Linked DNA regions of Kluyveromyces lactis. The protein of the gene in region 1 interacts with the protein of each later gene in a pairwise test. Links are inferred from orthologs where the notes say so. Each region holds a gene or a part of one and is shown on either strand. Other genes may lie near its edges. The genes, in order: DBP2 and NSR1.

Evidence for each region.
Region 2: the proteins of DBP2 (region 1) and NSR1 interact in a protein complementation assay, tested with the Saccharomyces cerevisiae proteins (2 studies listed by BioGRID). The link is inferred for Kluyveromyces lactis from reciprocal best matches to the Saccharomyces cerevisiae genes DBP2 and NSR1.

What each region holds. Positions count from the first base shown.
Region 1 is NC_006042.1:2,215,302-2,219,666, reverse strand, and holds DBP2 (DEAD-box ATP-dependent RNA helicase DBP2), read left to right. Parts: upstream 1-1,537; coding exon 1,538-2,810; intron 2,811-3,821; coding exon 3,822-4,213; downstream 4,214-4,365. Other genes in the region: DNA-directed RNA polymerase core subunit RPC19, read left to right, coding at 729-1,112; COPI-interacting protein CEX1, read right to left, coding at 4,365-4,365. UniProt on the Saccharomyces cerevisiae protein: ATP-dependent RNA helicase involved nonsense-mediated mRNA decay and ribosome biogenesis through rRNA processing. Associates directly with chromatin, correlating with transcriptional activity.
Region 2 is NC_006039.1:990,099-993,397, reverse strand, and holds NSR1 (Nsr1p), read left to right. Parts: upstream 1-1,228; coding exon 1,229-2,566; downstream 2,567-3,299. Other genes in the region: KLLA0_C11517g (gag-pol fusion protein), read left to right, coding at 1-324. UniProt on the Saccharomyces cerevisiae protein: Involved in pre-rRNA processing. Specifically binds nuclear localization sequences. Candidate for a receptor at the nucleus that may be involved in both RNA and protein transport. Binds telomeric sequences of the type (TG[1-3])n in vitro.

The DNA.
Region 1 (4,365 bases):
AAAACCAAGATTGAAAAAAAAAGAAAAAACTTTTTTTTATACCTTCCTTCTTATAGGTATTTTTTTTGAAAAATGCAATGATGAATGAAGGGAGAAGGAAAACTGATTGATCCTGTCGTGTCTGTACGGTGTTTTGTAAGGGGTTTTCCGTGGAATGATGATATTAGTTCAACAGATTGGAAACAGCACTATACGTGATGATGGAAACTTTAGCTGATAACTGGTTAGGTATACGGACTGTCCTTGTTTTATGATTTGTGAATGATATTTGATACTTGACCCGGATTGTTATGCTAATTCTGTAACGGCCTCCCCTGATGATTTTTGCCAAGGGACTTTGGGTATGTCTCGCTTTGGTCGCATTTTCTCATTTCTTTTAGTTTACTTTGCTTTTTGTTCGGGATCCGTTGTTTATATACTATGGTGTGGTACCCTGAGCGTGGCTATGAGCAACACCTGTGCATTGCGCGGTAACTGATGAAGTGTGTGACACGTGATCTGGTATTTCGCATCAACTTGCTTCTTTCAGTTACCCGGTCAAGACCGGGTAAGCTTTTTGTTTTTTCCTTTAGCATGATTTGGTTTTCCCTCTTCTCTCTATCGAAAAAACCATAATCAATATTGACAAATTGTTCAGCTTAACAGAGTAGGTCATCTCGTCTTATTGACTGTTTGAAAGAAGTACGCACAAACCACCTAAGTGACCATTCATAAGCGCTCTCGGAAATATGGCTGAAGTGGAAAAGCAAGATGTTGATATGCTAGCAGCTGAACAAAATGATCAAGTTGATCAAGTGGAGGAAGAAGTGGACAGTGAAAAGATCAAACTTCTCACAGAAGCTACTTCCGAAGATGGTACTAGTGCTTCTTTCAGAATAACAGATGAAGATCATACCCTTGGTAACACGCTTCGTTATATGATCATGAAAAACCCGGAGGTAGAATTCTGTGGTTACTCTATTCCTCATCCTTCAGAAAACTTTTTGCACATTAGAATTCAAACATACGGCAAAATTACTGCTGTAGAGGCTTTGCACAAGGGTCTTGGAGATCTAATGGACATGTGTGATGCTGTAGAGGACAGATTCACGCAAAGAATCAGGGAAATGTAGAAATTGGTTATCTCCAGCTCCCGCATTAACTATATATAAGAGAATAGAATTAAATACACAACTACATCATCCTTGTATAATACACTATAATATCTATTGATTCTACGTTTATAGCTACTGGTAATCTAGCACATTGGAAGCACCGTTGGATATACCATTGGCAAAAGTAGCTGGAGTGGCTAATGTAATCACGTGACCATTTTGGTAAATTGGTACATTGGTACAAATTTCTTTTTCTCTCTTTTTTGTTTCTTTTTGAAAAATTTGCAAGTTCCCTCATCGCCCTTTGAAACTAATATATAAGCTGCAAACATTATTCAAACCTGTCTCTGATCCTCGTTCATTCAGTATTACAAGTGTGCATTTTTTTTTATCGTTTGGTTCTCAACATCAAGCAACTTATTTCACACATTATACAGAGAACAATGAGTTTCGGCGGTGGAAGAGATCATCAATTTAACAGAAACAACATGGGCAGCACTCATGGTGACTTCCGTGGTAGCAGAGGTTCTGACAGAAACAGCTACAACAGAGGTAATGACTTCCGCGGTGGCCGTAGCTTTGGTCGTGGTCCATCTCGTGATACCAGAGTTGATTTGGTCGCTCCAAACTGGGACGAAGAACTACCAAATTTGCCAGTTTTCGAAAAGAATTTTTACCAAGAACATCCAGATGTTGCTCAAATGAGTGAAAGTGAAGTTATCGAATTTAGAAAGGAAAACGAAATGACCATTTCTGGTCATGACGTTCCAAAACCTATCAGAAGTTTTGATGAAGCTGGTTTCCCATCTTATGTCTTGGATGAAGTTAAGCAAGAAGGTTTCGCCAAACCAACTGGTATTCAATGCCAAGGTTGGCCTATGGCTTTGTCTGGTAGAGATATGATTGGTGTCGCTGCGACCGGTTCCGGTAAGACCTTATCATACTGTTTACCAGGTATCGTTCATATTAATGCTCAACCTTTGCTATCTCCAGGTGATGGTCCAATTGTTTTGGTATTGGCTCCAACCAGAGAATTAGCTGTTCAAATTCAAAAAGAATGTTCCAAATTTGGTGCTTCCTCTAGAATTAGAAACACTTGTGTCTATGGTGGTGTTCCAAAGTCTCAACAAATCAGAGATTTACAGAGAGGTGTAGAAATCCTGATTGCTACTCCAGGTAGATTGATTGACATGTTGGAAATTGGTAAGACAAACTTGAAAAGAGTCACTTACCTTGTCTTGGATGAAGCTGATAGAATGTTGGATATGGGTTTCGAACCTCAAATCAGAAAAATTGTCGATCAAATTAGACCTGATAGACAAACTTTGATGTGGTCCGCTACTTGGCCAAAGGAAGTTAAACAATTGGCAAGTGACTATTTGCATGATCCAATTCAAGTTCAAATTGGTTCTTTGGAATTGTCTGCATCCCACACAATCACTCAGATCGTCGAAGTCCTTACTGATTTCGAAAAGAGAGATAGATTGGCCAAGCATTTGGAAACCGCTTCTCAAGATCAAGACTCCAAGATCATCATTTTTGCTTCCACTAAGAGAACTTGTGATGAGATCACTTCTTATTTGAGAACTGAAGGCTGGCCAGCTTTGGCCATTCACGGTGACAAGGCTCAGAACGAGCGTGATTGGGTTTTGGCTGAGTTTAGGTCCGGTAGATCTCCTATCATGGTAGCAACTGATGTTGCTGCTAGAGGTATTGGTATGTTATTGAAATTTAATTTTTTCAGCATTGGTTTGAACTTTAGTTTACATTGAGACTATCGTCAAACCTTTCTACTAACTATATTAGACAACTGTCGAAGTCATTTCTTTCGAAATGATCACGATATGCCTTTTTATTCGAATGACACGGATGTTTTCGATTCAAAGGTAAAAAATAATGAGCTGGTCTTATTATTTATCAACGAAATCCTATTGGATTTGGTGCGGACAGAGAAAAGGATATGAAAATACTTTTCATTTTGACTTCCACAATTATTGATAAAGATTTAGAGACTTGACCAGTCCGATGTGATTTGATTTATTCAGATCTCTAGAATTAAAAGTAGATTGGCAAGCTTACTAGTATTCATGACAATCAGGTTTTGATTGGACCGTTGGGTTCGAATGTGTGGTGAAGTAGCTTTTACACAACGTGGTTTTCTCGTTGCATTGAAGGCTGTGATGAATTACCGGACATTCGATACTTTTTCTAATCATGTTATCAATTTGACATCTCTTTGATGCAATTTTGCTGAAAGATGTTCTTTATTTTTAACATGATCGTTTGAGTTAGATCAGATTCGCGTATCATTAATTGTGCTTAGTAGTAGATTGGAACATGAACCTAATGAAATAAGGATTCATTCATTTTAACAAAGAGGTTAAAGAATTAAAAAACTGATAAAATAGCGTCACAGGATGGTTTCCCTGTTATGCAAAGTGTGCATTCAGTTTTATTTTTGCGATTCCTCTTAGTAGTTGTTCCATGTATTCTATGAAGTTAGAAAGAAAAGTACATATTTGCGACATAAGCAAGCCTTACATAAATCTTTGTCTTCCACCGACTATTCTGACATGAATAAGCCGCGCGGGCTAATGTTATAATAAATCGTTGATTGCGCCCTCTGGATTTTATATTCTCATTTGGAAGTGCTTCGAACTTGTGCTGTCAATATAGTTACCATTACGATTTACGAACGAACTTACTAACTTCATTCTTATTCAACAGACGTCAAGGGTATTAATTACGTTATCAATTACGATATGCCAGGCAACATCGAAGATTATGTGCATAGAATTGGTAGAACTGGTAGAGCCGGTTCTACTGGTACTGCCATCTCCTTCTTCACTGAAGGCAATAAATCTCTGGGTGCTGCTTTGATCAAGATTATGAGAGAAGCTAAACAAGATATTCCAGAAGAACTAAGAAGATACGACAGGGGTCAATACGGCCAACATCCAAGATATGGTGGCGGCCGTGGTGGTCGTGGCTTTGGTGGTGGCCGTGGTGGCCGTGGCTTTGGTGGCCGTGGTGATGGTGGTTACGGTGGTGGTGGTTACGGTGGTGGCCGTGGCGGCTTCGGTGGAAACAGATCCAGAGACCAAGGCTGGAGACGTTAGTTTGTATAACGTCTTTGCGATTTGTTCTTTAAAAAACATTATATATTTGCTATCTGCTGGTTGCTGGTTGCTGATTATAACAATATTATTCTATATATTTATGTACATTACTATTGTCTAATTGATAAACTTAAGAATTAATAGAGTCTGCC
Region 2 (3,299 bases), on another chromosome or scaffold:
ACCATCACATCAGAGAACTGTTATGGAACACGCTGTACGACTGTTACAAGTACAGTCACTGTTCCAGTCACTGATCTAACAACTTCAACTTCACCATCAAACTCTTCACCATCATCAGCACCAAATGAAACTACGGAACCTATGGAACCTTCATTGGAATCTTTTACCTCTCAAGCACCAAAAACAGACACAGAACAAAGTTCTTCTACGGTAAGCTTTGGAGCAGTTTCTTCGATTTCAATATTTCAAGGTGTTGCTTCTTCCATAAACGCAAGATCTTCAACAATATTTGGAGTATTTCTGGGATTAATCTCTCTACTCTGAGTTTATTGCGAAGAATAAATACAATTGAGAAATTATTATCGGGCATCAATCTCATCGTATTTAAAGCTCTAACCCAACACTAACCATTTCAAGTTCATTCTTACCTTCAATTTTGACACAAACATTAATTTAAACACTGATATATCTGCATCTCTATTTCTCCTGTTTTACTTAAAGGAAGCAAATCCTTTGACCCTAAATATTTTTTCCCATGTTCTTTCAACACAAGGTGGGTGCACTATCGATTATAAAAGTCTCTCGGTTTTTTTCTATAAGTATATTGGGCAATGAACTAAGAAATTATTGAGGACAATTATAAAGTGTATTTTGTGACGTATACCTTTATGTACTTTTTAATAGATTACAAACTAACATCAATACTCTCTCGTAATTTAAAACCATTTTCACTATAATTTAATAACTATATGTCATGAATATCTGCTTTGTAGGTTTTCTTCATCTATTCATCACTGATTATTCACAGTTGACATTTCATCAACTGCCATCGGATCAGAGGAATACAACCTTGGAGAGAACGCAGTCGCGCGCCAGAAATTAAAAGAACCCATACCTCGCACCAAATTATCACGAATTTTCATGGTAATTTCTTTTCAATAAAAAATGTGATGAAAAGTTTTTTCAGTGAAAAAAACCCAAACAAAAACGGAAAAGAAACGATTTAAGTGAAAAATTATTGTCTCTGTACTCTTCAGCTCATCGCATTGGAAAAAGAAGTTTGTTATAAGAGAAGATAAGTTATACCTGCTCAGTAACACTTCTTCATTAACTAACATTTATTGATATAACGCTATTTTGAAACGCAATTCTTGTAGCATCGAGTCTTGTTGATTATCTATTAACAGAGTACAGAATAATATCATCGCTCAAACATACAATTCACATAATGGGTAAATCAACTGACAAGAAGGTTTCCAAGAAGGTTTCCAAGAAGGACCTAAAGCTAAAAAAGAAGCAAGATGAAAAGAAGGTGAAGGCTGTTGAACCAGAATCTAGCTCCGATTCCAGCTCTGATTCTAGCTCTGATTCTAGCTCTGATTCTAGCTCTGATTCCTCTTCTGATTCCGATTCTTCTTCCTCTTCTGACTCTTCTGACTCTTCTGACGAAGAAGAAGAACCAAAGAAGGAAACTAAGAAGGAAGAATCTTCCTCTGATTCCGAATCCTCTTCTGATTCTGATTCCGAATCTGAAAAGGAAGAAGCTAAGAAAGAAGAATCCTCCGATTCTGACTCTTCTTCCGACTCCTCCTCAGACTCCGACTCTGATTCTGACGAAGAAGAAGAAAAGAAGGAGGAAAAGAAGAAGGAAGAATCTTCCGCTTCTTCATCTGATTCTGATTCTTCATCTGATTCTGACTCTTCATCTGATGACGATGAAGAAGAGGAAAAAAGCTCTAACAAGCGTAAGGCTGATGATGACGAAGAGAAATCTGAAAGCAAAAAGCCAAAGACTGAATTGGCTGGTGAACCAGCTACTATTTTCGTTGGTAGACTATCATGGTCCATTGACGATGAATGGTTAAAGACCGAATTTGAACCAATCGGTGGTGTCATTAGTGCCAGAGTTATGTACGAAAGAGGTACTGACAGATCCCGTGGTTATGGTTATGTCGATTTTGAAGACAAATCCTACGCTGAAAAAGCTATCAAGGAAATGCACGGTAAGGAAATTGACGGAAGACCAATCAACTGTGATATGTCTACCTCGAAGCCAGCTGGTGCTCCAAGAGACGACAGAGCAAAGAAGTTCGGCGACGTTCCATCTGAACCATCTGACACTTTGTTCTTGGGTAATTTGTCTTTCGAAGCTGACAGAGACAACTTGTACGAGATCTTTGGTAAATATGGTGAAATTGTTTCTGTTCGTATCCCAACTCACCCAGAAACTGAACAACCAAAGGGTTTCGGTTACGTTCAATACGGTAGTATTGAAGATGCCACTAAAGCCTTTGAAGGTCTACAAGGTGAATACATTAATAACAGACCAGTCAGATTAGACTACTCCATTCCAAAGCAAAACTTCGGCAACAACCAACGTGGTGGTTTTAACAGAGGTGGTTCTGACAGAGGTGGAAGAGGCGGTAGAGGCGGCAGCAGAGGCGGTAGAGGTGGCTTCGGTGGTAACAGAGGAGGTAGAGAATTCAGTTCCGGTTCTAACGCTTCTCCTCTAGGAGCTACCAGACAAACTGCTTCCTTCCAAGGTACCAAAAAGACCTTCGATTGAATTTTTGAATACTTAATACACAAGAGTTAAACAAAGTTCATTCCTCAAAGTCGAAAACACTTTTCATTATCATCCTAACATGCTCTTGGGAATAAAGAAGATCATTTCTCATCCATTGAAACAATAGAGTGTCAAAAAATAAAAATAAAAAAAAATTAAATCACAAGAATAACCATTCGTCATCTTATTTGTATCTATAGATCAACAACTGATTCATTGTAAACTTCACTGAATCGCATTCATCTTCTATTTTCTTATTTTATTTTCTTTAAATCATTTGTATATGTGTGTATAGTAGCTTTTAATATTTTTTGAACTAGAAGTCTGCGAAGAAGGTCTATGGAAAAGAGTCTCGAATCTGTGCATTTTGTAAAATTAAGCTTCATCTTTGAATCTTGTTTTAAAGGTGTAGAAAAAAGAGAAGACAAGTTTCAAGACAATTGACTGCATTACAGAATCCCTTAATACACTCGTATGACAGTCGTAACCCACCTCAAAAGATATGGACAATTTGAGAGCCACACATACACGCACACACAAACTGAAAAGAAGAATTTTAGCTACGAATATTGTGGAGGTGTATCCAAAGGTATGTAATAATCGATATTTATGCCGCAATTCAATGAGATTGCTAGGTTACATAAAATCGGTGTCATTATCTAGTGAATTATACTACAAACTGAAGCAAACTTAACGACAAAACGGCTTTTATAGGCAAAAACTCGACGGAATA